Linked DNA regions of Rhinolophus ferrumequinum. The protein of the gene in region 1 purifies or fractionates together with the protein of each later gene. This does not show direct contact. Links are inferred from orthologs where the notes say so. Each region holds a gene or a part of one and is shown in the gene's direction. Other genes may lie near its edges. The genes, in order: PRKACA, CDK5RAP2, MAP2 and VAPA.

Region 1 (7,557 bases):
GTGTCAGAGTGGTTGTGAGAAATGCAGGTTTAGTGTGATTCTTAATACACATGAAGTTTGAGAGCCTCTTCTCAAATCCCTTCACTCCCTTCCATGTCTGTTCCCGCCCCAGTCTAAGCAGCCTTCTCCACCACCTAACCCTCACCCTCCTGTATCACACCTGCCAGCAAGCCCTAGCTCCACAGCATCAGGGCCAGCTTCCTCCGTGTGCGACCCAGGCGGTCACACACGACTCCTGGCTTGGTGGGATGTTCTGTTGTCACTGGCTGAAGAACACTCATTTTGAACACAAGAGCCCCGTGTTTTCATGTTGTATTGGTCTCATTTATACCAGTTATGTAGGCGGCTCTGTCCAGAACAACATATCCCCATTCTGTCCACTTCTGTCCTTCTCTATTGCCTGGTCTAAGTCACTGACCTCTTTCCAGGATGACTCCTGCCTGGTCTCCCTGCTCCCATGAAGGCTTTCTTCCATCACAGCTCCACACGCTGCCGCCAGAATTATCTTTTTAGGCTACAGGAGTGATGTGGCACTTAACCTATTAAATGTCTCACTTTTTTCCCCAAGCCCTTACCTGGCCCAATAGTCCCTGGGTAGCCTGGTACCTACCTGCCCACTTGTTCAACCTCATGCCATTCTCCTCCTTGCTTACCACACTCCTCAGCACCATTTACTTGGTGGTACCTGTCACATCCAGCATTTTACAGGCATTTACATGATTGATTCTCTCTTCCCCACTTGATTGAAAACTCCCAAGGGCAGAGGCCATACTTTTGGCTCAATAAATACATGTTGCTTGAGAATGACTGTTACTGGTCAAGGTGTGACTGTGGCAGTTGGTGCTAAGGCCCAGGATGTGTTTCCCGTAGGCTGATGCCCCCAACCCATCCCTCATCCCTGAGAGCGATGCCATCGGTGTGACCGTCGTCCTCATCACCTGTACCTACCATGGGCAGGAGTTTATCCGCGTGGGCTACTATGTCAACAATGAGTACTCCGACCCCGAGCTGCGGGAGAACCCGCCTTTGCAGCCAGACTTCTCTCAGGTGGGGCCTCTGCACTTCCTGCTCCAGACTGGCAGGCTCTTTTGCACTTGGAGGGAGTTGAGTCATTGGAATCTGGAGCCAAGGTCACTTCTTAAGGTTTTCAAGTAGCACCCAGATCTTGCAGCACCGGGTTAGAACAGGGGGAGAGGAGGCTTTGTTTCTCAGAAGCATGCCTCGCAGAATCAAGATTAGATAGCTCCCGGCCCTAAATCATGGTGCACAGGTGTTCCCTGGAGTCCCACACATATTGTTGGTGGTGATGGAACAAGTAAGGTCTGCACTTCCTGGGGTGGGGGGTTGGGAGCGCCCGGGCTCTGTGGGAATAATGAGAGGGCATACTGACAAGTGGATGTTCCTCTTCTTGCCCCAGCTCCAACGGAACATCTTGGCCTCGAATCCCCGGGTGACCCGTTTCCACATCAACTGGGACAACATGGACAGGCTGGAGGACACAGAGAACCAGGACCCTGCCCTGGGCTGCGGTCTCCCCCTCAGCTGCACCCCTATCAAAGGCTTGGGGCTCCCTGGCTACATCCCCAGTCTTCTCCCGGAGAACTCCATGGACTGCATCTAACTGGGGGACTGCAGCCAGTCTCCTAACATATCTGGAAGGGGCAACTGGGCCTGCCGGAGAGTCCTGTGGGGGCCATCTGGAGGACTTTGGGGCCATTAACTACTCCAGGCCAGTCAAACTTGTCCCCGAGTAAAGAACAGGCCTCAGGTCTCTCCCAGCCCTGGCCCAGAAGGATCATCTCATCTCTACTACCCAGGCTTATAAGAAGCAGGTACTTCAGTTCTTAATTCTGACTGGTGTCCTTTCTCTCTTCCAAACACACTATAAATTTCACCTGCAGGCCATTCTACCTACCATGTTCCTGTGAGTACTATGTACCCACAGCTCTTCCCACAGACCTCCCTGGCCTACCTTGAAACTTTGAAGATCAATGGTTGGCAAGGCTTGGACCCTGTTGGGCCAAGGTTCCATCATTCCTTTCTTTTCCCAAACATCTGAGTAGATCCACCCAGCTTTCTGGAGTCAGGCAAAGAATCTGGGTTAGAAAGTGGACTTGGGCACAATTTCCGCCCTCCCAGAACAATTTTTAGGTCTTTTCAATCCAACAGCCCCTGGAAAACTGTCCCCAAAAGTGTGATCAGCAGGATGCTGAACAATGATGGTTGACTCTCAGTCACAACCACCTTCCTGTTGCCTCCTAATTCAATCTGGATTTCCCGGAGGCTGCCACTGTGGGGAGATGCCATGTTGGAGGGGCCTGCTATGCTCGGTCTCAGTGTCAGCATCTGAACCCCTCTGCTAAGACCTCATGCTCTTATGGGCCGCAGAGTGATCGCAGGCATGGGAAGCAGGAGAGACCCTGAAAACCTTCCTTCCCCCTGCCATGCTCCCCTCCATGCCCCCATCTCCTTGCTGCTACATGGATGCTGTTGAGATTGCAGTTTGTATATTAAAGGGTTTTTATATTAAATATGTTCGGTTGGTCTAAAAATAAAAAGCACTTAATTTAGACTGGTTGTTTCTGCTTTTGTCTCAGGTAGGCTGAGGCATCTTTGTCCGTCTCCTCTCTTTGGGACATAGTGGAGGGTCCTCTTGCTCCAACCAGTGGGGTTCACTGCCCCTTGGCCCCTTGCTCAGCTTCTTGCTCTAGTCTTAATTGGTTATATAGTTGTAATCCAGACTGAGGTTTGAGAAGGGATTTTTTTTTTAAAGTTATGCAACCCAGCTGTTCTGCAGATAGAGCATAACCAGTGATTTTTCAGACTTTGACCTTGACCCACAGGAAGAAATTAACATTGTACTCCAAGGACACACAGCATACTTTTATTAAATTTTACTTAACCTTACTTTGTAACCCCACAGCCAGAGGTGGAGTGGTTTGGCTGGTGAGCCATTTCCCCCATAATTCACAGAAGTGCCCCAACTTTTCCTCCCTGGGACTATAGTTGACCTAGCATAGGTGCAGAGAGCAGCTGGGTAGGATGCAGGCAGTACAAGTCTATAAGCAGAGCAGCGAATCAGCTTATAGACCTGAGACCCCATAGCCCTTCTAAGTCAAGGAGAGCTGGCTCATCCTGTCCCCTGCCCTGCTGGACACCTATTTGGGCTTTCCTCTGCTTCAGTGGTTCTCAACTGTGGGCAATTTTGGCCTCCCAGGCACATTCAGGAATGTTTGGAGAGGGTTTTAGTTGTCAAATCCGGTGGAGAAAAAGGTTCTACTGGCATCCAATGGGTAGAGAAACTGGGGATAAGGCAGAAGACAACCACCCCCACCCCCGCCCCCGCGCCAGCAAAGAAATGTGAGTAGTGTGGCAGTGGGAAACACTGCCCTCAAGTTGTGTATGTATAAAAAGGGCACCCTTAAGAGGCATCTTGCTACTTCTCTGCCCCTGGAGGGCAGGTTCCCTCCAACTCCAAGACGGAATCCTCACCCTGATTGCCCCAGATTCCTCCTCTGTAAAATGCGAGCGATAATAGTACCTGCGTGATACAGCCATAGTAGGAAGTAATGTATTTAACGAGTGCCTGCTCTTACTACTGGCAGGAGCCCAGCGTGGGCGCCCAGCAAAGGGATGGGCACTGACCCTCCGCTCCCAAGCGCCCCTTGCTCCCGAGGCCCAGCATCCTCTTGAAGTTCGGGCTGTGGCTGGGGGAGACCCAGGAGCTCCACCCCCACTCCCGGGCCTGCCACTGTTATCCTGCGTCAGGCCTTAAAACTGACGACGGCTGACGGCCCGGCGACCTCTGACCCGCGGCGCCGCTGCGCCCCTCCCCCGCTGGCAGGTGGACAGCGGCAGCATCGGGGGTCCGCGGCGCCCGCTGGCCGGCGGCCGCTGCCGCACTGAGCGGGGGCGGGGGACTGCGGCGCGCACAGGGGCTGGCGGGCACCCGCCTGGACCGCCTTCTGGGCCTCGGAGCAAGCCAGCCTCCGCCGCCCCGCCCGGTCGACCCCGACAGCAAGCTGCGCCGCCGCCCCGCCCTCTCACCCCGGGATTGACACTGAATGTTCTGTGGGGGGCTGGCCGGACCACGCGCTTCGACCAATTGGCGGCCTCGCTGGGCGATCCCCAAGCCCTGTCGCGAGCTTCGGCCAATCAGGCACCTCGCAGGCGCGCGAGTGGCCGGGCGTCCGCGGCACGCGTCACGGGGCTGAGAGCCTATAGCAGCGCGGGAGGGTCGCGGAGGGCCAATGGGCGGCAGCGCGGCGCCGTCAGTCAAGGTGGCCTGGGCCAATGAACGCGGGCTGCGGGAGCGTCACGGACAGCAGCAGCGGACTTGGGCTGAGGTTCCCGGGCGGGCGGGCGCGGAGAGACGCGGGAAGCAGGGGCCTGGCGGGGGTCGCGGCGCCGCAGCCAGCGCAGCAACCCTAGGGGCCGCCGCCGCCGCCGCCCAGCGCGCTCCGGGGCCGCCGCCAGCACCCGCCGCGCCGCAGCTCCGGGACCGGCCCCGGCCGCCGCCGCCGCGATGGGCAACGCCGCCGCCGCCAAGAAGGGCAGTGAGCAGGAGAGCGGTGAGTGCTCGGGCCGAGACCTGGATCCCGGCCCCGCGCTGCCAACCCCCGCCCTGTCCATCACCGCCTGGCCCCTCCCCCACGTGCCCCCCCATTGCTCTCTGCTTACCCCCAGCACGCCCTCCCCCTGCCTGTCCAAGGTTGGGGCCCAGGTCCCGCAGAAGACCCTCCATAGGGGCTACCTTGCCAAAAGCCGCCCCTCGCTGCAAAGACTGTGTCCCCCCCACCCAGCTGTCACTGCCAACCATGGCACGTATGACCGCTGGGGCCCCACATGGGGCCCTGTCACCACCGCACCCCCTCCTTTCCTGGACCCTCTTCCCAGATTCTAATCCCCCCTACTTCCTCACTCGCCAATCCCACAGATGGGACCCACCGCAATACCCCAACCCAAGCTTCTGACAGTCTTGGGAGTGTTGTGGGGTCTGTCTCCACCCCACAGGAACCTTGGCCACTTGGTGACCACACCCCTCCCCCCTCCAGCCCCCGCCATCTTTCTCCTGTCCTTCCCCTCTTCACCTTACCACAGCCCCCCTCCAAACCCACTCTGTCCCCTTGAGTTTTTCCCAGAGCCATGTCCAGCATTGTTTTTACTTTCTGTGTCATTTGGCATGGGGGACAGGATCTTTCTGGGTCCCTCTGCTCCTTTCATCCTGTCACTCTCTGTCACTCTGCTCCTGTGCTTGTGCTTTCTCCTCTGAGCAAGCGTCTGTCCCTGGTTGGGGTAGCAGACTGTTTATGAACCAAGAGAATTGCTTCAGTGTGTCCAAAGCCAAGTTTGAGCTGGTCTTCCTGGGTTCATTGCATCCTCCTTCCTGGGTTGGGGGCGGGGAGAAGGGGCGGCGGCAGGAGTGCCCCTTTCTATCTCCTGTGGTGCAGTGAGCTCTAGCTAGACTCCTTGGAGGGTCCTCAATAATAAATGGTTGTTTCACAACTGAGGCTCCGTCACTCACCCAGTCCTGTGGGCTTCTTCACCCGCTCCTGGCTCAGGATGAAAAGGGGGGGATTAAGAGTGTCTGGATTTAACAAGGCTCATTCAGCTTGAGCCAGGATGGTGAGAAAGGGGACTTGAGGGATGGCAGTTGTGGAGTAGTGGGTGACATCCAGTGACTTGCCTTTTACCAAGGGACATCCTGATCACTCCCTGGGCTCAGCCAGAGAGAGGCTTGTTCCTCCTCAAACCTCAAATTATGTTGGCCTTTTCCAGCCAGCCAGAGAAAGAGATTCTGTATCTGGAAATGCCTTCAGAAATGGCCTTGAGCCCCTTCCTCAATTCCTCCAGCTCTTAAGTTGTCATTGCTCCAGGCCTAAAGCTGGACCTCAGCTAGGATACCCTTCCTGTTACCCAGAAATAGTCAGAGATGAAAAAGGCGACGCCAGATATGCTGTTCCTAGTTACTGGTCTCAGACCCCAATGTCTGAGTCCCCTGAATGCCCTCTCCCAGAAAGACCCAGGCACCAAATCCAGGGAACTTTATTCCCACATGGATTCAGATGGCAGAACTCAGAGTCACTAAGCAGCTATGGGGAGGCCTGACATGTCACCAATGGGCGGGGGACAGGGAGGCAAGTGCCTGTAGCTGAGTGCTTGATGACAGAGGAGCAGGTGGATAGTGACCAAAAAAGGTCTGGGCATGAGCTTGGAGGGGACTAGGCAGAGGGGGGAGGGGCTGGGCCCCCAGCAGGTGAGGCCTGGGAGGTAGAAGGTGGAGGCAGGCAGCTATATATTGCAGTGGCTCAGTTGAAAGTTGGGGAGATGACATAGTCCTGGAAAACTTTCAAGGCATATCAAACACATGCAGTGTGTGTGGAGGGGTGGGAGGGGGTGGAAAGTTACACAGGGAAAAGGATCCCCAAGAAAAAGATCAGAGGCTCCGGAAGTGACCACTAAATCTCTCAGAGCACAGGCCAGATACTCAGGAATTGACCATCACAGTGAAATAGAGCCACTATTTATTGGGCATCTAGGATGTGCCAGGCTAAATGGTCTCCATAGATCTTTCTGCTCAAGTGGTTTTCATAACGGGCTGTTTTCTGAATTTTCCAAACGACCTCTCTAAGTTTGACATAGATGATGTCACAGAGGCAGGATTCACATAGATCCACCTTCCAGCCAACTTTCTGGACCCCAGAATTTCCCAACCCAGACATTCTCAAGCTGCCTCCCTGATTTTTACTCTATTATATTTCCTTAATTTACAATAATAAAAGTTTGATTCACTTTTGTTCAGATGTAAACTTTGCTCCATCCTAAGCAGTAATATAAATGAAATCATGGAATTGTTGTGCCAGTTACATTTCTCTGCTACACATTGAAATACAATGTAACTAGAAAAGTGAAACATACCTAAAATCATTTTTAGCCCTGCCACTGGGACCTATGTCATATATCAGGAAACGCCTGAAGCTGTAGTTAGTTCTAGAGGCTTGCAGGGACTCTCAGAGAAGCAAACAGGATAAGGAAGGAAGCCCCTCTTTGCTTGGAACTCTAATTCTGCAAGGATGGAGTTAGACAAAATTTGCTTTCATATAACTAGAGCCAGGCCTGGGGTGGGGGGTAGAGGGCAGTAGCCAGGCCATCCTGCAGGGGGCACCTGAATTTCATCTGCCAGACACCAACCCTACTGGGGTAAGGAGAATGTCCAAGCCTTAGTAGGCACTACTTAGGCATCCTCCAGCCCCCTGTGCCATCGTCTGGGCGAGACAGTGCCAGCCTCCTTCCAAGAGAGCAGGGATCTGTCTATCTAAAACAAGCCCTGGGGTGGGGTGGGGGAAATCTATACTCAAAGATGCCAAAACCTTGGCAGGGGCCCGGGTAAGATGCTAAGAGGGCAGAGAAAAACAGATCTAGCACTGGACTCTGAGAAGCTAGAGAAATTGAGAGAGGGCAGTGGTCCCAAGAGGCCCCTGGGATAGGCCGCCAAGTGGGGCTCAGGCCTTGGCTAGCTAGCACTGGCCAAAGGCACCCCTGGGAGCTGGCCCACGG
Region 2 (7,293 bases), on another chromosome or scaffold:
TGGTCAAGGACGCTGATGGGGAGGCTGGCTGGGGGACTTCTTCAGAGCCAGGGGCAGGGTGCTGTGCTGGGAAAGCTGCTGACCTGGGGACAAGACTGACCTGGGTTTGAATCTTGGCGCACCTACGCATTTGAACGGTGACCTGGGCAAATCTAGGACAAATGTGTAACAAACGAAATAATGATAGTAATGGATTATGACCCATAAGATAAAGGAAGTGTCTACAAGTCCATACTGATTTAAATAAACAACCGAATAAATGGGGGAGATGAGAAAGCTCTTCCTTACATTAGAATTCTAACTAATAAATATAGAAGGCATGAGGAAAGTAGGAAATCACCAAGTGGCAAATACCACTGTAGTCATTGTGTTGGGTAAGAATTATCAATAGATGATCAGTGGGGGAAAGTTGGATGAAAAACAATACATTTGTATCGTCTCAAATATCACCCCCAGGATTCTTATTAATTATAAGAAAATAGTAATCTTACCACACAGAATCTTGGCAGATACCATTTTAGCCAAGAGATTGGAGTTAACATCACCAATGCGTGAGACATCTTAACGCCACCTGGCTTCTGATACCCTGAGAAAGGCACAGTGTCACCTGTGTGCTTTTCTTGCCAAAAGTGCATAATCCCAATCTAATCATGAGGAAACACCACATGAACCCAAATTAAGAAACATGCAATCCGATAACCGGCAAGAACTTCCATAAAGCTGTCAACGTCATGCAAGAAAGAAAGGAACTGCCACAGATTGGAGGAGAGTCAGGAGACGTGACAATGAAATGCAACGTGGGATCCTGGATGGGATCCTGAGCCAGAAAGAGGACACTAATGGGAACACTGATTAAATTTAAATAAGGTCTGTAGTAAATCATATTGCAGTAATTTCTTATTTTTGACAATTGTGCTATGGTTATGTAAGATGTTAATATTTTGGGAAGCTGGGTGAAGGCTCCACAAGGGATTCTTTGCACTATTTTTGCACCTTTTTTTCTAAGTCTGAAATTATTTCTAAATGAAAAGCTAAAAAAAGAAAGAAAGGGGAAGAGTGGCCTTTGGCCAAACTGTCCTCTCTCTGAGCCTTAGTTTCCTCATCTGTAGGACAGGGCAATAATTCCAATCTACCTCAGAGCGTCACCAGGATAAAATGAAATAGTGCACAGCAGCAATGTGTATGTGTTGACCCTATAAAAAGGTTTTCTTGCTGTTAGTAATGGCAGCTCACGTATTCTGAATGAGATGCTTGAGCTGCTAAAACTTCAGGAGGGTTCTACCCTAATGAGAAACATCTGTCTGCAAGCTACTTCCTCCCAGCCATTCAATATGACCTTGCTCAAGGAAATAATAATGCCAGCTTTGTGGCTGGGTGGCTGTTGTCAAGGAGATGGCGCCAGATAGCCCAGACAGCTGGTGGTAGTGACGTCACCTCCAGGCTTGGCAGAAAGAAAGGCCATGGTGAGACAGAGACAGGGCAAAGGGCTTCGTCCCTGACCATGAAAACAGGAAAAACAACTTCCCAAATAGCCTATCCTTTGTATGATTGATTCTATTTTCAGTTTCCAGGTTCACTAAAGGGTTTAGCACACCATCCAGGAACACGGTCATTTGCCGAATGGGGCAATGGATTAAATAAGAACTCTATTTCTTTATAGTTTCCAAAGTATCTAATTAGATAATGCAACTATGTGAGCTCAGCATTGTCTGCCCCATTTGACACGTAGGAAAACCAAGGAGGAATAAGCAGAAGGGACCCCAGGTCACAGAATAAGTTGCAGGAGTTTCCAGAGTGAGAATCCAGGTGCCTAGACTTCCAGTCCTGCATTCATTACTGCCCACACTAAGATTCACCTTGTGGCCACCTTGAAGCAGTTGCCCAAGGAGTAGAGTCGGGAGAACACATCTCTGAAATTCTGTTGTATGGATGTAGACATCACCTCTTAATTATAAATTCTAAAGTGGAGAAAAAGAAACGAATAGGAAACATAGGCTGTCTGAAACAATTAGGGTGTTGGTGTTGAGAGGACCTGAGCTCAAATCCCAGCTCTGCAGTGAGACCTTGAGAAAGTTCTTTTTACCTCTTTCAGCCTCAGTCTTCTCACCTGTAAGTGAAATGGGGATAATAGCGCCTACTCCAGAGGGCTGTGGTGATGGTAAAATGAGGTGGTGCATGTGATATGCCTGGCACAAGTGGCACAGACACTCAGAATATGTAAAGTCCTCTTCCTTGTTTTCTTTCTCAAGAGCTTTCAGCTGCTGGATGGAAAGTTAGTTCCCCCATCTGGGAAGTGATGATTTGTAACTTCGCCTCCCTCACCAGAACAGAGTTGCTCGTGCATTAGTAGAAATCACCTCCAGAGCTGGGCGGTCCTGAGACATCCATCCAGCCCAACCCTGTTATTTTACAGATGTGGAAACTGAGGCCCAGAGAAGAGAGATGGTCCGCCAAAGATCACAGAGAGTTGGTGGCCAAACCAGGGTGGGAATCCTGACACCCCAGCTTCCTTGCTGTTGGACATATGTAGTACTGGGAAGAACTGTTGGTTTCAGGGGTTCAAGGATTGCCCCTTCCCTGGGGCAGGCCATGCGGCATGCTGCTGGTTTCTGCACACTCTCTCAGACTGTTATTTTATTGCTGATTCTAGGAGTGGTTGAAGATCTGGGGAAGCAAGAGGGACAGGTATACACCATCACTATGAGCTTTGTAGGTTTACTACTGAGGTGGTGGTTGGTGGGGTGGAGGGACGGAGGGAGGGAGAGAGCGAGAGAGTGAGAGAGAGAGAGAGAGAGAGAGTGGGATACATGGGATTACCACTGACTGAGTTACTAAAGGTATCTCAGGTCATTCTTACCTCATGACAAAAACCTTGCAGAGTAGGTTTTAGCCCCATTTTCCAGATTGATTGAATCATTCCTTCAACATATATATTTAAACACCTGGTGGGTGTGATAGTTATGGGAGATATAACAGTAAACAATTCGGAACACAGTCTCTGCCCTTATGGAGCTTCCAGTTTAGTGCAAGAGGAAGACATTAAAAAACCCCCAAATGCAGAAGTTGTTATACTTGCAAAATGTGTTAAGTGCTACGAAGGAAAAACACCATTGCTGAGATTATAAGAAAGGGCTTGATTTACCTTCGAGAATTAGAGAAGGCCTCTTTCGGAAAGTAACTCTTCAATTGAAGAAGGAGGAAACTGACGGTGCGGGTGGTCTTATACATGATTGTAGGGAAAGTCACCATCTACCCACTTGCCCATCTTTTCAAGGTATTTTCATCCAGGGCTTTCCTGGTAGCAACCTTGAGATGGGGAGACGAAGGTTGAGTTCACTGGCCAAGTTCTGCCCCAATTATCCAGGTGTTTGGTGATGGCTCTGCTTTAAGGAAGGTCGCCAGGGTTATGCAGAGATCCCTGATGCAGCTGGCAGGAGCCACAGATCTGGCTTGAGGTGACAAACTTACTGTGCATGACTTTGGGCGAGTCATTTCCTTTCTGTGTGCCTCAGCTTGCCGACCTCAGGTGCGTTTGAGCCCTAGAGGTAATAAGGAATCATTAGGCGACAGACTGCATAGTAAGTGCCGCTGACCACTTGGCTCATAGGAAGGAGCTTGTTTGTTTCAAACTAAGTGCACAAATTACTACTTGAGTTGGGATTCTACAGGTTGGATTTTTCTAAAGCGAAGCAGCACCCGATTATCTGAGTTTCAAGACAAGGCAGAAGCCTTTTGGAAGCACACACTGCAAGGTTCGGGGTCATTATCCTAGAAACACACACACCAGGTTTTACGAATTCTGAGCATCCGTGAGGGGGTGCATTCCCGACTCCCGCTTCAATGAACCAACCGAGGCCGGCTTTCGCCCTCAGCAAAGATGGCGCCCGCCCCGCCTCGGCCTGGATACCCTCACAAAAAATGGCAGCTGGCCCCTCTGTCGTTCGACTCGCGGGCCCCAATGCGGACGCCCTGCCCTTTGTTAAGATGGCGCCTGCCCGCGCATCCCTGCCCGGCTTCGGGCCGCAGCCGGTCGGCTTCAGTGAAAGCTCCTCGGTGACCCCGCCTCGTTTCCGTAGGAAGAAGCGCCGGGAAAGATGGCGGCGGCTGCGGTTTGAATTCCAGCGGCGCCGCCAGAGTCCGAACAAGAGCTGGATTGGAGGGGGCGGGGACCTGGGGAACCCGGCGGGTCGCGACCGCGTGGGGAACCAGTGGTGCCGCTGCCACAAGCACCAGTGCTACCACCTCCTCTGTGTCCATGATGGACTCGGTGTTGGAAGAGGACGTCACCCTCCCCGGGACGCTCAGCGGCTGCAGGTGCGGCCCGCATTTTGGGGGTTCGCGATAACCGGGTCGGGGTTCCAGCTGTTGAGGGTTCGCTCCAACGGAGACTTGGGGTTTGCTCTTGAAGGTGTTTGAAGGTTTGCAGACAGGGGCAGTGTGTAAGGTGGGTTTTTTTGGGGTGCGGGGTGCCTCCTTAGGGACCCACCAGCTGATACTGAGTGGGGCGGGGGGGTACGACCTGCACCACACCCGCCTCTCGTATTTCGGGACATACGGGGAAGGGGATGTGAGGGACAGGTAAGGGATTCTCCGAAAGAGCGGGACAAGGGGGACCTCTTAGAGTGGACCCTTAGTGGAGGCTGGTTGGGGGCAGGACCTTGGGAGTTTGCTGTCATTATGGTGAGTGTAGTTGGTCTGTGCAGACTTTGCTAGGGGGTCACATAGTGGCCACCAAGACTGAGGCAGAGGTTAAGAACCTTGGCTGGAGTTGAACAGAATTGGGTTCAAGTCCAGCCCTTTAAACTAACTAGCTGTGTGACCTTGGTAGAGTGGCTCAACCTGCCTCCTCGTCTGTAAAATGGGGCTACTAGTAAAATCCACCCAACAGAGTCGGGGTGAGGGTTAAAGGAGAAGGTGTCTGCCCCTGTCCAGTAGTTTGTTTGGCAAGTGTAGTGCCTGGCACATAATCAGTGCCAAAAAATTGACTGTGTTGCCTCCATCATTGTCAGTAGAATGGGGAGTAATGGTCGAGAGAGTGGCCTCCCAAAGGACCTGCCCAACGAGGCAGTTGGAGTCCACATTGCTGGTGGCGCCGGTCTCTCTCCTTCTGGTAGGAAGGCCTGGCAGAGCCGGGCATGGCCCCAGGGCCAGGGCCCTTTGGTTGCCCAGGGCTCCTGGTTGGATAGTGAGTAGAAGGATGCAGAGGAGAGCCTGACTGAGAATCCGCAGTGTTTATCCAAATCTACTAGGGACAGGCTGCTTCTTTTAGTCAACAGACCCTAATTGAAAGGGTGACCATGTTATTTGTTGTGTAAACCCAGACACTTTTAAGAGTGAAATGGGCACAATTAATACATATGCCTGGACAGCAGGCATAAACAGGTCCAATCATGGGCAAACCTGGACAAATGGTTACTTTGTTTATTGAGAACCTACTGTGTATAAGGTCGAGAAGGCCCTTTGCAGCTCCTGCCTCGTTGGATCCTGTGGCAGTTCATGTCCCTTTCTCTTCATCTTACTAGACTACCCAGATATCTTGGGGGACGACCTCTCACCTGGATTGTCATATTTTCCTTCATGCCCCTAATAGTCCTTTATACCACAGCTTGAAAGCTCTTTCTAAAATGTACATCTGATCATCACAGTCTGCACTTTATGTTTAATGCTTCTCATGGCCGTTAAGATAAAGTCCATTATTCTCTCAGACAGCTTTTCTCATCTCAGTGCTAGTTGGCCAGACCTAGCTGGTGGGTTTCAATCCCAGTTCTGCCACTTATCAATCCTGTGACGTTGGACAAGTCACTTATTCTCTGGGAGCCTCAGTTTTCATCATCTGTAAAGTGGGTGAGTCTAGAAGCGTTTTAGCCCAGTGTCTGATCCAGCAACTCAGCAGATCATCAGATAGTCTCCCTTCCTTCCTCTCCCTGACTTCGCAGGGAGAAGGGGCTGCATATATTCCTGGCAACTAATCTCTTACTCACCTGCTCAGACCCTCCCCGGCTCCTTTCCAAACTCAGGATGGAGTTGTTTAATGCAGCTTCTAGGGTCGTTCCTAGTCTGGCCCATCAACTTCACAGCCTCCTTGGTCCTCCCTCTCCCTACCCTGTCTTCTCCCCGGGCTCACCTGGCTGCCAGATTCTTTGTCATGAATGCCTTGTCCTTTCTTACTTCTCGGCCTGTGCACTTTCTGTTCCTGCTGCTTGGATTGCCCTCCCTCCACCCCTTTGCCATATTAATGCCTACTGTTTTTCAGGTCTCACTTTAGATGTCACTGCGAGGAAGCCTTCACTGACAGTTCCCCATCCCCACGTGGGTCCTCTGTACTCTTCGAGCCACCCCATCCGTCACTGGCCCTATTGCAGCCCTTGTTCACCTCACTGGATTGTACTGATGAGCGCTGTCCAATAGAAATCTAATTGAGCAACATATGTAATTGAAAATTTTCTAGTAGCCACATTAAAAAAGTAAAAAGAAACAGGTGAAAATAACTTTAATAATATATTTTATTGAACTCAGTATTTCCATATATGATCATTCTAACTTGTAAACAGCAAACTGTTACTAATGAGATAGTTTATGTTCTTTTCTGTCTTACTGACTCTTTGGAGTCTGGTATGTATTTCACACTTGCAGCACTTCCCAGCTTGGGTTACCCACATGTCAGGTGCTCAGTGGGCACACGTGGCCGATGGCGCCTGTATTGGACAGTGCAGGTGTGCAGTTAACTTGTCTGTCTCCCAGATTAGACTCTGACCTATTTATTTACGAGCAGGGGCTGCATTTTAATCATCTTTGTAGCCCTAGGTCCTCACCAGGTATCTGGCTCATAAATGGGGTTCAGTAGCTATTTGTTAACACTGAATAAAAAGCGATCTTTTTAGGTGACAGTATTATCCCCTTTTCACAGGTGAGGGCCCTGAGTCTCAGAGAGGTGGATAGTCGGGGCTCCACAAAAAGTACATGATCGAGCCAGGATGTAAATCCAGGCCTACTGACTCCAAAGCCTGGCTCTCAGTATCCTGTTCGGCTTTCCAGTTCGTTCTCTGAACCTATTCTGAGAGGATTCTGGAGGATTCCACGGAGCTGCTGGGACTTGAATTGGCCCTTAAAGAACAGCAGAAATGTTCTGAGAGCCAGGTTCTCCATTAGGTGGGCACAGTGGAAGAGAAAAATCCCTAGAATGGAGTCACCTCGTCTTCTGCTAATATGAGTACTCTTGTGCTTGGTAATTTCCAAGCCCCAGTTGTAGAGACTAAACTGGAGTCCAGTTTGTGCTCAGACTTTTGTTGAATT
Region 3 (7,293 bases), on another chromosome or scaffold:
ACCTAGCATCAAGACTTACTATAAAGCTACAGTAATCAAGACAATGTAGCACTGATGAAAGAATAGACAAATAGGCCAATGAAACAGAATAGGGAACCCAAAAATAGACATACATTTATAGTGAATTGATCTTTGATGAAGAAGCAAAGGCAATTCAGTGGAAAAAAGATAGTCTTTTCAACAAATGTGCTGGAAAAACTTGACACCCATATGCAAAAAAAAAAAAATAAAAAATTGAATCTAGACATTGACTGTGCACCCTTCACAAAAATTAACTCAAAATTATTCATAGACCTTGCTATAGACTGAATATTTGTGTTCCTCCAAAATTCATATGTTGAAACCTAATTGTCAATGTGATGGTATCAAGAGGTGAGGTTTTGAGAGGTGCTTAAACCATGAGGGTGGAGCCTTCATGAGTGGGATTGTGCGCTTATAAAAGAGGCCAGTGAAAGCTCCCTTGTCCCTTCTACCATGCGAGGGCATAATACGAAGCTGCCATCTATAAAGAATCAGGATCTTGCCAGATTCTGAATCTGCTTGTGCCATGCTCTTAGACTTTCCAGCCTCTAAAACTGAGAAATAAATGTTTGTTGTTTATAAGCTATCCAGTTGGTCATAACAGCCTGAATGAGCTATGACAGAACTAAATGTAAAACGTAAGACTATTATACTTTAAAAGGTTACATAAGGGAATATCCTAGTAATGTTGGGTTTGACAATGAATTTTTAAGTGTAACACCCAAAGCATAATCCATGAATGAAAAATTAGTAAGTTAGTCTTCATTAAAATTAAAAAGTTGTACTCCATGAAAGACACAATTAAAAGAGTAAAAAGACGAGCCACAGTCTAGAGAAAATATTTGCAAAACACATATCTGAAAAAGGGCTTATATCCAAAATATACAAAGAACACTTAAAAACTTGACAATAAGAAAATAAGTCAATTTTTACAAATGGTCCAAAGATCCGAACAGACACTTCACCAAGAAGATGTGCAGGTAGCAAATAAAGATTTTTTAAAAAGTTCAAAATCATATGTCATTAGGGAATAGCAAATTAAAACAGCAATGAAGTACAATTATAAACATATTAGGAAGGCTAAAATCTGAAACACTGACAACACCAAATGCTGTTAATGATGTGGAGCAACAGGAATTTTAATTCATTCCTGGTGGAAAGGTACAACCACTTTGGAAGACAGTTGGACAGTATCTTACAAAGCTAAACATAGTCTACTATGCAACCCAGTAATAGTGTACATAGGAATTTCCCTAAATGAGTTGAAAACATATGTCGACACAAAAACCTGAACTTGAATGTTTATAGTAGTTTTACTCATAATTGCCAAATTTAGAAGCAACCAAAATATCCTTCAATAGGTGAAATAGGATAAACAAACTGGTACATTTATACAATGGAATATTATTCAGTGATTTAAAAAAATGAGCTATCAAGCCATGAAAAGAAGAAATCTTAAATGCTTACTGCTAAGTAAAGGAAGCCGGTCTGAAAAGGTTATGGACTGTATGATTTCAACTATATGACGTCAGAACAGGGAGGAGAAAAAAAGGAGGGAGGAATAAGTAGAGCACAGGGGATTTTTCGGCCAGTGAAACTATTCTGTGTAATACTATAGTGGTAGATACATGACAATATGCATTTGGCAAAACCTGCAAAACTACAGCACCAAGAATGAGCCCTAAAGTAAACTACGGACATTATTAATAATAATATCTTGATATTGGTTCATCAATGGTAACAAATGTGCCACTTCCATGCAAAAGATGTTAATAACAGGGGAAACTGTGGGTAGAGGGAAAGGGAATATATTGGGAAATCTGTAGTTTTATTCAATTTTTCTTTAAATGTAAAACTGCTCTGGGAAATAAAACTTGTTAATAATATTTTTTAAAAAAATCTCAAAAAGACCTAAACCCATAGAAATCTATACGATGTTCACAGATCGGAAATCTTAATAGGTTAAGATGAGAATTCTGCCAAAAATTGATCTATAAACTCAGCACAATTTTAATTTAAAAACAGCATTATTTTTATAGAAATGAACAAGTTGGCACCAAAATTTATATGGAAATGCAAAGCATTAGCTAATTCAAAAGGATTTTGAAAAAAGAAGAAGACTGCAGGACTTGCAATACCTAATTTCAAGACTAACTATAAAGCTTGAGAAATCTAAACAATATTTTGATTTGCCAACAGTGAGGAGAGGCAGGATTGTGCACAATGCCTGAAGCTGTATTTGTCTAAGCTCAGAGGTGATACAGACTCAGGGAAATTCTGCCTGAAGTGAAGGAAGGTAGGAGTACTTTCCTTCTAGAATGCGGTTTGTGTGTCAAGTAGCACGGAACTAACAGGAACTGAGAAACACTCAGCAGTTGGACTATGCCGGATTGAAGGGATACTCTCAATGAGTCTCTGCAGCAGCATGCTAGGTCTTGAATGTCAATGGCTAACACTCTAGCAGAATTCTTACTCCTTCCTTCCATCCTATACTATGCATCATTTCATAGTCTCCTAAAACCTCCTTCTTCCCTATCAGACCATGCTCTGAGGAGGAGCTCTAACTCCTCCAACCTCCCTGCTACTTAAGTGTGCCCTGATACTTCCAATCTCATTGCAAGTGTCACAGAGACATGGCATAAAGCTGGGCAGAGGGCAGTAAATATACACAGAGCATGGAGTGTGACCTTGGAGGCCAGGGTTTCAGATCTTACTCTTATAGCTTCTAATCTTTACAGCCTCCCATAATTGGGTCTCTTTTTCCATTTGAAAATTGAGGGAATTGGACCAAATGCCTAAGAAATCAGCTCCAATGTTCTCTGGTTCTATGATTCCTTGGCTGATTTCAGTAATACAACAAATTACAGCTGCTGTTTCCTCAGCACTGTTGAAACTATACAAGCCATTTCGCACCATCTTGGCTGACCGTAAAAACACCTTAGCAGTACTTGATATAAACGTTTGAAGCAATTCTAAGTTGCATCTTTCCTCTCTTACAATAAATTGCTGTTCTCTGATTTGAAGATTCCACGGTAAGGAATCATCTGTTTTCTCAGTTGGTCATTTCACTTTCAGAAGTATTTAAGAGATGATTTCCTTAAGTGGTGATGTTTCAAAGTCAACATTTTCTGTGCTTTCTACTCATTATACTTGTATCACTCTTCATAGTCTTCACAGAGTCTTCTTATTTATTATCTAATTATACCCTCATATTAAACATGCCAGAGGGGCAGGGCTGACATTTTAAATCTTCATTTGACACACTGATACACTGAGATTTAGATTAAGTGAGCGGTGTCAGGATCATACATCTGGCTCTCTAGAAAGCAATGTCCATGGAGGCAGGGTTGCTTTTTGGGGCGGGACAGGGTCTATTTTTATTTACAGATGTTTCCACAGTGTCTAGAACAGTGTCTAACACATAATAGGTTTCGATTAACATTTGTTGAATGAATAAATGAATGAACGAATCTGATTAGTGACAAAGCTGGTTCTAGAATTCTCTAAACCTTCAGCAATTGCTCCTTAAGTCCTGAAAAGAGGTGTTCTCTGTTCTTGTGCTTCCCCAGTTTTCCTCTATCATTTCTGCAACTGCTGTTAGGTTTGTGGAAGCACGGCTAGTGAGTGTTCCCCACAGAGGAGTGACAGGAACCACTGCCCACAGTGACAGAGGAAGGAAACGAGGGGCGTCAGTGGGGGACGCCTCCCAGAGAGACTAAGCTGATTTCCTCAAGGACGTGGGTGAAGATCTGCCGGGTACTTCTGTTCTGAGGGCGCTGGTCTCAATTTGTTGTTGGTAGTGGAGGGGGTGGGATTCTCTTGAGGGGTCCGCCGTCCCAGGCCTGCATGTGGCCACGTCTTGGCAGGCGCTCTGAGGCTGCCACCCCCATCATTCCCGCCGGGCGGCGGTCTGGCTGCGGCAGGAGGCGTGGCAGCTGCGCTCCCCCTCCCGGACACTGCGGCGGTGGCAGCGCCAGCATCACCACCGCCGCCGAGCGGCCAGCAGAGGCGGGCGGGATTTGAAGGGGGCGGGGAGGGAAGGCGGGGCGAGGCGGCCGCGCCGGGAGCGGGCGGCGGGGGCGGTGCTCAGACTGGGCCGAGCGCTCCGGCTGCGCGGGCTCTCGGCGGCCGTGGCGGCAGCAGCAGCATCCTCCTTCTCTCTTTCTTTTCTTCCCTTCCGCTTCTTTCTCTGTCTTCTTTTGTTCTCCTTCTTCCCCTGCCCCGTCTCACTCTCTACTCCTTCTCCCGAGGGCATTAGGTCGTCCTCCAGCCGGTGAGCAGTGACAGCGGCGACCGCGGATGCATCCAGTTTCTGCGTCCAGGTAAGAGAGGCTTTCCCACCTCTGGTTCTATATAGGGCGTCTTTCCTTCTACCTTGTTCATCGCGTAAAGGTAGCCTCAGCCAGGAATGGGATGGGCATGGGTCAGGGCTTGTCTCGTCCGCTGTGCCTTAGGAGCAGGCACAGGTTGGCCGAGCTGTCCAGTCTCCTACCTGACCGAAGCTGCAGGCCCGGCCTCTCCAGGTGTCACTATGAAGCTGGTGACCGGGCGCTGTTACCTGAGCTCTAGATTTGTAGAAGGGTGTGCGACCTTGGTAGGTACCACTTTGAAACTCCCGGAAATTTACGTCAGGTTAGGATACTTGTCCTACACCTGAGGTGTAGGAAGATGAAGCGTGAATTACAAAAAGATGGTGGGAAAAAACGATTTCGAGGTAGAGGATTGTTTTGTCCATCTAGCTGCAGAGAACCACACACGAAGGTATTAGTTAGGGAGCCTTGTCAATTTGAAATCTTTTTCCCTGTTATTCTTCCAGAAACAGCTGGAAGAGGAAAATAGATAAATATTTTTAGGAAAATGAGAAATCAGTGTCTGGTTGTGTTGGAGGGCGGGACACGAGAGGAAAAAAAAAGAGTCTGGATGAGCTTGAGCATCCACAGTCTTTCTTTTTAAACCACGGGAGTGGAAAGCGGCACCTACAGTCCATCTATGCTTTTCTTTTTAAAAAATCTTTTTTGGGGTGGGCTGCAGTGCTGGGTGTCTCTCTTCCCCAACCTCCTCTTTTGTTTAAGGATGGAAATTTAAAGAAAGAGTGTGTGAGAGGAGCGGGAAGGTGTGTGTTTGGTTCGGGGGCGGGGGTTAGTAAAGCGGACGGTGTCAGGAGAAAAAAATCCTTGAAAACTGGAATATTGATATTATATTGCCTGTCGTTGGGACTTCGGGATTTTGTCAGAAAATAAAAAGCTCTCATTAGCAACATGCCCGTTTCTCACGATTGTTGTGTGCCATCTGCTGTAAGTCTTTAGCATAATGCTTCCAGGACATAGACCCTTTAAAACTGACTCAATGTGAATGTTTTTGTTTAAATGCATACACATACACACTCACGCACACTCATTTGCTTGTGCACACCACACACGCATACACATATAATACCCTATATACATAATATTACTAAAGGGAGTGGATACTTAAAAGATAAATCTTTAAAATTTATCTTTGAACGTTTGGGAATTATGGTGTAAATGAAATCTGTAGTGCATAACAAAAAATTGTTGGTGGTACATAATTTTGAATGTGAGGTAGAGGGATTGATGAATGTTGGTAAGGAATTCACTTCAATGTTAAAGATGTTATTTATTTTTAAATGATCCATCTGTGAGAGTCAGTGACGACAAAGTGAAATTGAGGTTTGCAGCCACAGTGAGGCGATGGAGAACAAAGCCTTTTATGTGAACCCTATTATGCAAAATGTCCCATGCTTGAGTTGCAGGTACCAGCCCAGTATAAAGCATAGCTCTGTCACCCTGTCTTTCACTGTGGGCAATTATAATTTTTTTTTTGCAATGAAAGTAGATTACATAAAAGCTATGTAGAATTCCCAAGAGGAGGATTACATTCTTTCATCTGAATGTAACACAAAACACCTCTTTAACTGGGCAATAGTCATCTATGTATTTTTGTAGAAATCTTAATGAATTTGTAAATCATGAGTATTTCAATGACCCCTCCCCCTTTATGCATGGAGGCATCCTCCCACCAAGAAATGGTGAAAAGCGTTTTTTTTCTTTCAATAAAGAATATTATATTTGTGTGTGTGTATCAGTATTGATTTCCTGGTAATTTTATTTGATTATCATAGGTTTACATCTGTATTCATGATTTACATATTATCAGAGCTCTTGTGCCTTTAGGATCAGTGGTACATGCTGTTTATCTGTTCATGATTTAATTTGAATTTATAGTATTTTACAGTTTGCTATAATATTATTTAATTTCCGAAAGTTTTTTTTAACTTTGACCCATAGGCAGAAAATAGCTTAATATATAGTGGAGATCTAAGCAATTTAAAAATTGAGCTTCCTTTTTCTTAAAAAAGAAAAAATAGCGTTTTGATTACATTAATTTTTTTATTTCCTTTGTTTCTCTCCTCTCTTATTCCCTCCCCACCTCCACTCCCTTCTTGTGGAATAACCTGTTTCTTTCTGGCTATCTGTGCTGCTTTATGTCTAGACCACCAAAAGCAGGGCCAGTGTTCTCAGGAATTTGGAATTTAGAATTTGTTAATTCTCTATAGCAACTCTCTCTCAAGATGACTTGTTGACAGCACCTTCTCAGGGAGGAGAAGGAGAAAGAATGTGCTGAGAGAGCATGACCCAGTGAAACTGGCACAGCCATTACCTCATCATAGCCGCTACTACTTCATATTCTGAGAGCCAGCGTCGTCTCGGTGGAAACCAAATGCCAGGAGCACACCCATCTCAGGGCAGGCCTTCTCTTCCCATAGCAGCCTCTAGGAATGTTGCTTTCCTGACTGTAAAGGGATGTTTTCTCTTTTATGTATTTCTTTTCTGGGCTCTTGAACTTGGTCAAAAATATGCATCCAGAAATGAAACTTGGCATAGAATCCTCTAAGCCTGAAGGAATAATTTCATTCCTGTACCACTTTTGGTGTAAATCAATTTGCAATTATTCTAAACATCAGAAGAGAGAAGGAAGAAACATCCTTGCTGGTGTAATTTTGCATGTTTTCTTATGACACATTTTGCGTTGAATTTTACTTGCAACTAGATAACAGACTGGACTGCTATCTATGCTTTTGAGAACGATAGTGGTACTGTTGTACTTGAAAATTAAATGTTTATTACGTTTGCTTAGATGTAATACATGACAGTCTGGGCATCCCTAAATTATTCATTGAAGCTCATGTAAGACAGACCATATGAAACCAGCTTGGGGATTTTAGTATTAATGTTAATTACCCTGATTAAT
Region 4 (7,991 bases), on another chromosome or scaffold:
AGTTGCGGATTTAAATATCTAACAACTTACATATATATAGTGTATATTTCAAAAGAGATATCAAATTTTGTGTACTATCATGTAACAATCACTTATTAAAAGGTTACTATTTGCCAAGCACTATGCTAAGCACTTTATTAACGTTATCTCATTTAGGACTCATAAACAATATTAAATATATGTTGTATTATTGCCATTTTATAAATATGGCTGTAGAGTTTAAGTACACAACTGGGCAAAAAGTGATGGAGACTGAAGTCCAGTCTGCCTGATGTCCAAATCTGTGTTCTTCACCCACATCTACTCTAGGTTTTGTCAGGGCTATACAAAGAAGCCTGTATGTTCAGAGACTATGAGAAGTCAGGCAGGGAGTCAAATGTGTATTTAATGTTCATAAGCACCTTTGGTTTCCTTTAAGAATAACTGTATTTGTGGGAGAAAACACATTATTAACTGCAGTGAATCTGTTTAGCTTACAGGTGCTGTAATCTATGTAGTCCAGAGAAGAAAAATGGAATATCAAGAGGAGAAGATGGGTTCAAAGAATAAGGATGGATTCAATGAAAATGTACAATTTTGGAGGCCAACACTATTGACCCAAACAATTTTGGATACTTATACGCAGCCCTTCTTCTGTTGCTGGTATGGGGTGGGATCTAGCACTTGGTGAAAATGGGAGAGATGGCCACCTTCATACATTCCTGATAGAAGTATAAACTACAACAACCCTTTGGATAAACAGTATGTAGTATGTATTGAAATAGGAAATGTCACTGATAGAGTGGTTGCATCACTGGGAATCTCCCTGTGGAAATAAAAGCATTCTGTAATAAGGAAATGTGTATAAGGATGTTTATTGCCGTGCTATTAGTTGTGACAAAAGCCTAGAACAATTTACACATTCATCAATAGGGAACAAATGGTACCATAGATGGGTATTTTCTGGATTCAGAATCTATTCTCTGTATTCAGCTGTTAAAAGACTGAGTTTGATGCCAGTCGACCTTGTCAGATATCCAGAATACACTGTTAGGTGAATAAAGCAATTGTGAAGTAATATGTTAGAATTCTTGTAAAACAAAACAAAACAAAAGCCCCCAAACCAAACTAGCTATGTTTTTATAAGTATGGATAAAGTTGGGGAGTGATACACAATCCAAGCAGTTAGCACTGATTACCTCCGGGGAGTGGAAATTGGAGGTGTACGAGGCAACTTTATTCATTTGCTTTTGGATTGTGCCACTTGTTACAATAAGGACATATTGCTTTTACAGTATAAAAGATTAATTGAAAAAACACATATTATTCAAATTATTTTTCATATACAAAGATGCTTAATCATATAGTTTTAACTGCTTTAAGCTGTCATACAAAGAAAAGTCCCAGGGTAAGTCTTTTTCCTAATTCTTCTTTTTCCAGACTTGATTTGATCTGGTGCAGCTTCCATCGGCCTTCTCTTGGAACCTATATTTCTCACAGAAGTTTGACATATATGCTACAATAAGCCCCACCAACATATCCACATTTATACAAGCATTGCGTCTCTGTGATACTTGTTGACCTTATGCATATTTCTGTTGGTTATCGCTCTAAAGCATATGTATCAGTTTTAGAAAGAGCTCTTCGTGTGCAGTGATTCTGTTTCATTCATATTTTACCTGCAGCATCATGTTACTCTGTCAAGTGAAAGTTTTCTAGTCCTCACCTTATAGTTAACAATTCAGCAGATTTTTACGCTATTGACCTTCTTGATCCATTCTTGGCTTCCATGACACCTGACTCTCTGCAGCACTCTAAAATCCGAAGCAGGAAGCAACACAATAAAGGGAATTAAGTGCTAATAAAATTTTGGGGAAGGGTGGAGGAGCAGGCTCTAGATGAAGAATAACTCCCAGGGCAAGAATAAACTGCCCCATCAGGGCAGCTGCTGCCTCTGAGGCTGCCCCTCTTACCTCTGACCCAGGGATCAGGAAGCTGGACTCAGGAAGGAACTACTTCTTCTGCTGACCCTGCAACAATTAACTGTGTCTTGACATCCAGGAAGCTGGTACATGGGCACTGGAATGCTAGGCAAAAAGCCTCAAGTCTCTGTGCTCTTGCTTCAGCAGAAAAATAGCCAGAAGGTGCAAAAAGCTGGCCTCCATCTCAGTTCTAACTTTCCGCTATCACATGAGTGTACTTCACTAGTTGAACTTATTTCAAGAACAGAATCCTAGCTGCAAATGGGCATTCATGTTTGTCTCTCCTGCCTGAATATAAGCCTGTAAGGGCAGAGACCATGTCCATTGGCTCATCACTGTATAACCTACCACTGTGCCCAGCACACAGCAATAATTTAACATTTAACATTAATAAGGAAACGGTCCTGGAATCAGGCAGTATTCTAAGCTCTTCATGTGTAATAACTCATTTAATTATCATAACAAACCTCAGATATAGGTATTATCATTCTCCCCAATTTACCAATGTAGAACAGGTACAAAGAGTTCAAGTAAGTTGCTAAGACCACATAGAGCAGAACAGGACTTGAACCCACCAGTTCAGATCCAAAGCCTGTACTCTTATTCAATACATTTTACTGCTTTAATATTTATTGAAAACGTGCCCATTTAAATGTTTACTGAATTGAATTATGCAGAAAATTGATCATAAACATATTCAGAATTATAGAACTCCTCTAAAGTTTAACATGTTTAACTATGGAGAAGATGGTATACATTGTTAATAGCATTTGTACTGGAAACTGGTAGTTTTTTTTTTTAATCCTTGCCAAACCCATGAGATAATCTGTCCAAAGGTGAATATTATTAGTAATTCAAGTAGGTCGAAGTAATATTCAAGGTCTTCACACCTCTTATACTCAGGAAAGCTTGAGAGCTAGAGAAATACGTTTGGATATATTTTGCTAATATCTCAGGAGAGCTGCGTTAATCAATGTAAAAAGAGTAATGAACATTAGGCTATATATCTTTCCATTCCTAGCTTAAGTGTTAAACCTTAGATAAGTCAATTACATTTTAAATGGTTGCTTTAATTACTCTTGGTTGTCATTTTATTGTGACTGAGAAGAGCAAAAATGCACAGAATGAAAAATTAGGTAACTTTCCATAGTTTAGCTCCATTACTGACGTGAGATGCTCTCACCTGTGTTTTCATTTTCATATTTAACAATAAATTAACACTTGTTAACTGTTATAAAGTTGTTCTGAGTAGTGTATGATGATGTTTGTAAAGTTCTTTGAACTGTTTGAGAAAGGTATTGATAAATATACAAGCACAAACCACTGAAATAGATTACCGTATATTTAAATTCCTATAGATTTTAAGATTGTACTATATGATTTTTGAAGCAATATCGAGAAGAGAAAAACAGTTGATTCCAAAGATGATGACTTAAATGGGCAGAGGTTTCTTAATGATACAGACTGGGAAACTGGAATACATCCAATTCTGGCTTCCTATTGAACTCTTGGTGAATGGGCAGCCATTGTCCCATAGGGGAGTGACTGGGAACTTCCTCAGCATGCTATACCTTCTAATTGGTTGTTTGCACAGTGGGGATTCATATGCTTTCTGGTAAGAGAAGTGTCATTCTCGCTGTGGAGGAACCACTTCAGCCACGGCTAACTTGCCCATGGATAAGACATCTTAGGCAAGCAAAAAATTGGAGTTTGTGTCAGTTTTAGGGCTGTCAGTTCATAACTAAAATTATGTGGAACACTATCTTGTGGAGTGAATGTCAACCTCGACTTTTTTTTTTTTTAAAGCTCTAAGCCCCCCCCCCCCCTTTTGGTAAACATACAATTTTTGTATTCTCCTTTAATGGTAATTGACATTTAAAATAAATTTTGTTAATAAATAGAAATCAAAGGAAAGGTAAATTTAGAATATGCTTTTCAAACTACTTAAGCACTCCTATCTTCTGAGATTTTTCATGACTGAAGATACATTCCTCTTGTGTAGCACAATCTTCTGTGAATGCTAGGCTATGTAGTCCAGAGAGCTATTCCCACATGGGCTCTGATACATGGATTGCACCTGAAAACTTGGACTTTGTGCCTACGCCTCCACTACTGTTCCCATTTGTCTCTCATTTATTTTCTAGACTACCTGGGCTGCTCTTTCATGGTAGTAACATCAGTATGTCTTTTGTTTCGTGGTACTTCCTAGGAATTTAAACTCAAGTAGGTTTATTTATAGCACATTTATTTGTTTCATTTAATGATTTTATCCCCATTACCTTGGCAATCGGTTAAAGATTTGTCAGCAACTTTGCTACTGAGATTTTTCTAATTTGGCTCAGTTTGCTACATGCCACCGTAAATGATGCAGATGGAATTCATTTCCTGTATGTTAACGTGACAATTGTTTTGGTTTGGGTCTACCATTAATCAAAACTGATGAATTGACTACAGCAACTGAACGCTGTAGATTTTGACTTTATTTTTAGCTTTATACGTGTGCGTTGTCAGATTTCCCCAACGACGCGTTTGCTTTTAAAATGAGGTTCGTTTCCTCATCTGCTTTTGCATCACTGGAGTATTCAGGAAGCAGAAGAGATTGGATTGGAATACGACACAGAATTTACCTCTACTAATAGAGGATCGGGTAGGATTTGAGAGAAAACCGACAAATCCCGGCATGTTTTCCAAAGAGAATATTTTTATTTCTAACCAGGGGACCTCAGGTCAGTCTCCAAAAGTTTTTGTTTTCTTTTTAGCGCAGACGAGAGGCCATCGGAGAGCCAAAAAGAGTGTCAGCACGCCCAAGCCCATTGGCCTCCAAGAGACCTTACTCTCCTTCCCGTCCACGAACAGCCACTACTACAATTCCCAGCAAGCATCGCGCAGTGCCGCAAAAGGAACAGGCCGTAGGCAGCGGCTCCGCCCTCCGCACAAAGCATGCTGGGAGTTGTGGTGAGTGAGTCTGACTACTCCTTCCTTCCGTTAGGTATTCCCGTTTGGGAGATGGTGATGCACTACCACAACGGGTTCTCCAGTTTTGTAATAGCAGCTAAGCGTGAACGAGCACTGTGCCCGCCTGCCTGGCAGTGCAAACCGCATTAGTTCCACGGAACTTGGTTCCGCCCCTCTCCACACCCGTTCCCTTGACAGCTGGGCTATGCTCCGGGCGCCGACGAGGCCGGGAGTGCGCAGGCGCAACAGCCCGCGCCTCTTAGGGCAGGACTCGAGGGCGGGACGAGTGCTAGGGAGTCCTGGCTCCCGGGGCGCGCACGTAGGCACGCAAAAGCTGTCACGTGGGGTGCCGAGGATCGCAGTGCGCGTGGCCGCGACGGCTGGTGTGAGGTTGAGTCAGTTGTGAGATCCGAAGCTGCTGACCCAGCGGGAGGCCTACCGACCCGGCGACAGAACGGCAAGCGTCGGGGTGCGGGAGCCGTGCGCTGGCCCCATCACAGAGCTCGGGTGAGCCGGCGCCACCGTCGTCCCCCGCCTCCAGCCAGCAAACCGCCGCCGCGGGCGCGCCCCCGCTCTGCGCTGTCTCCGATGGCGTCCGCCTCTGGGGCCATGGCGAAGCACGAGCAGATCCTGGTCCTGGACCCGCCCACAGACCTCAAATTCAAAGGTAGGAAAAAGGCAGCCCCTGACTGGGGTGGGGCGGGCGGAGGGCTTGATTCGGGGCGGGCGGTGGGTGTGGAGGGAAGGTCGGAGGCCGGGGCCTTAGTTGAGCGTCCCCTCCCCCACGCCCCAGCACTCTCGTTCTCCCGCGGCGCCTCGCTCCGGCCCTTGGCCTGCCTGCTCCGCAGCCGGGCCCAGTCCTTCGCTCGGCCGCTCGCGCCTCGGTGCGCGCGCCAGCCCGGGCGAGGCGGAGGGGCCAGGCCCTGGCGCCGCCGCCGCCATCTTGCGGTCCCGCGGGGGCGCCTCTTGGTGCTGCCCGCGCTGCTGCCCGCGTCTGGCACTTGTCCTTAGTCCTGGAGGGCCGTCGGGCGTTGTCTGGGAGGGCGTGGGTGGGCGGTGACCTTCGAGCTTACGCTCTGGTCTGCGGGGGAAAGGGGGGCTCTGGGGCTGGCGCAAGGGCCGCGGTCTCCCGCGCGGGCTGTCACAGGCGCTGGGAGGCGAGGCGCGGCGAGCCAGTGGCGCGGCAGCCCCTGGACTCGGTTCCGAGAGAGAACCACTCCTCGGCCTCCGCTGCCTCAGTCCGCCTTCTGAGGACGGGCTGGGTGGAGCCCGCCCTCGGCCCACGCCGAGGGTTTTGCTCCCTGCCTTTTTGCCCAGTTTGTAAGTCGGCTGTCAGGTACATCGAGCGCTAGGGAGGCGGAGAAGCCCACGAAGTCTTCTGGTTATGACTTACCCGGTTGTATTGGCAGAGACCCAAGCGCGTGCGGGCAGGAAAGCTCTGCGTCAGCCCGAGAATTGATAGTAAGTTAATAGGAGACGTCTTCCTGGTCCTCCGATAGGACATTTCAGCTTACCTTCCGCGTAGAGCAGACCTGGTATTTGCTCCTGTTTAGTCCTTTCATTTAGCTTTTTTTTGCTGCGGAATCTTAAGTGTTTGTGACTTTTGCCTTTACGTTTGCGGTTTTTCAACAAACGCCTGATAAGGGTGATAAGGTGTCACTCAGCACAATTATATTTTTCATAAGAAAAGTTGTAAATAGTTTTAGGAATTTTAAAAGAGTGTATTCTGGCATTATGTTAGAGTAGTATTATATAATTCCTTTATTTTGCAAGCTTTTTAGTGCATTTGTAAGTATCTTTGAATGGAAACGTAAGTGAGCTGCTTGTTAGGTCAGGATTGGTTTTAAGACAACTACGAAATACCTTGACGGGCACTAAGTGCATTTTACGTTTCAAGTTGGTGCGTGGGGCATGATTACACATAGTTTTAACTGGAAGAAAAAGAAAAGCCTGTGGGTAATTATGAAATTACCTAATTCAAATAGTCGTTATTTTAGATTGGAGGAATTTAGTGTAAACCTTTATGGTGTGTATTCTTTCCAGAATTTAAGTATTTTGCTTTTACTCTTTGACAGGCTGAGTTTATAGAGGAAATTTCCTTTATTGGATAACCGTGTGTGTTTTGCTGTTAGGGACTTGGAAGCCTTTTTAACTAGGTTTAGGCCAGGAAATACCGAAAGTTTGAAGCTTTTTCCCTAGAGAAGTTGTAATGTTGCCATAGTAAGAGACTTATAATAGAGAAGCAAGTTAACCAAAAACATTACACAATGACATCCGTATATTTTACTTATTTTATATATTGAAGAATTACTAGCTATGAGTATAGAATAGGCTGTTCTAGTGCTGTGGATGAAAGTAATTCACAAGGCCCATTTTTAAAAATTTGGACATCAATGACTACCTTTTAAAATTGACTGAAAAAGTGTTTCATTGAAAAGTTTATAGGGACACATTCAGTTGGGTCATTTATTTGGCAGACACTTACTGAAAGCTTGTTGCTGTCCCTGTATTCAGAGTATTTAAGCAATGAGTAATTCATTCAGCAGGTATCAGCTGAAGGGAGACATCAAAGGCATATAGATGTTATGTCAGAGGCAAAACAAGTGTGTATGAGGCAAGAAGCTCCTTGCTCCCTGCCCTCTCTTTCCTTAAGGAAGCATTCTGGGAAGAAGCTTGTTTTCCGTTGAGGAGCGGGGGAAAGGGTTGGGCAAGGGAGTAGTGTGGTTTGTTCTACCGCAGATGTGAGAGAATGTAGGGCTTATACTTAGATACCCAGGGGTTTGCTGTGTGTTTCTGTTTACAGGTGGGGTAATGGGGAGGATTGGGAAAGAGGAGGGATAGGATGAATTAGGTGACACTTGGTGGTATTTGGTTTCTTCCTCCTTAATGTTATTCTTTTAGTCAAAAGTAAGTACTTAGCTTTGACGGAATCCTCTCTGTATTCCAGTGCGCAGTTCAATAGTAAGTAAGGAGATTCATTCAGAATTAACAATCTCCTGATGTTCAGTTTGGTGATGATATAAAAACTCATTTAACAGACTTGCCCTAAATCACCTATAATTTTTAATTGAAGTA

Evidence for each region.
Region 2: the proteins of PRKACA (region 1) and CDK5RAP2 purify together in Homo sapiens (affinity purification with mass spectrometry; 6 studies listed by BioGRID and IntAct, with this or other methods). This does not show direct contact. The link is inferred for Rhinolophus ferrumequinum from reciprocal best matches to the Homo sapiens genes PRKACA and CDK5RAP2.
Region 3: the proteins of PRKACA (region 1) and MAP2 purify together in Homo sapiens (affinity purification with mass spectrometry; 3 studies listed by BioGRID and IntAct, with this or other methods). This does not show direct contact. The link is inferred for Rhinolophus ferrumequinum from reciprocal best matches to the Homo sapiens genes PRKACA and MAP2.
Region 4: the proteins of PRKACA (region 1) and VAPA purify together in Homo sapiens (affinity purification with mass spectrometry; 4 studies listed by BioGRID and IntAct, with this or other methods). This does not show direct contact. The link is inferred for Rhinolophus ferrumequinum from reciprocal best matches to the Homo sapiens genes PRKACA and VAPA.

Annotation. Positions count from the first base shown.
Region 1 is NC_046301.1:47,890,137-47,897,693, forward strand, and holds the start of PRKACA (cAMP-dependent protein kinase catalytic subunit alpha), read left to right. Parts: upstream 1-4,317; 5' UTR 4,318-4,525; coding exon 4,526-4,571; intron 4,572-7,557. Other genes in the region: histone chaperone ASF1B, read left to right, coding at 871-1,047, 1,418-1,621.
Region 2 is NC_046295.1:71,103,260-71,110,552, reverse strand, and holds the start of CDK5RAP2 (CDK5 regulatory subunit-associated protein 2), read left to right. Parts: upstream 1-4,066; 5' UTR 4,067-4,255; coding exon 4,256-4,314; intron 4,315-7,293. UniProt on the Homo sapiens protein: Potential regulator of CDK5 activity via its interaction with CDK5R1. Negative regulator of centriole disengagement (licensing) which maintains centriole engagement and cohesion. Involved in regulation of mitotic spindle orientation.
Region 3 is NC_046291.1:24,036,356-24,043,648, reverse strand, and holds the start of MAP2 (microtubule-associated protein 2), read left to right. Parts: upstream 1-4,123; 5' UTR 4,124-4,343; intron 4,344-7,293. UniProt on the Homo sapiens protein: The exact function of MAP2 is unknown but MAPs may stabilize the microtubules against depolymerization. They also seem to have a stiffening effect on microtubules.
Region 4 is NC_046302.1:8,139,143-8,147,133, reverse strand, and holds the start of VAPA (vesicle-associated membrane protein-associated protein A), read left to right. Parts: upstream 1-4,863; 5' UTR 4,864-5,504; coding exon 5,505-5,583; intron 5,584-7,991. UniProt on the Homo sapiens protein: Endoplasmic reticulum (ER)-anchored protein that mediates the formation of contact sites between the ER and endosomes via interaction with FFAT motif-containing proteins such as STARD3 or WDR44.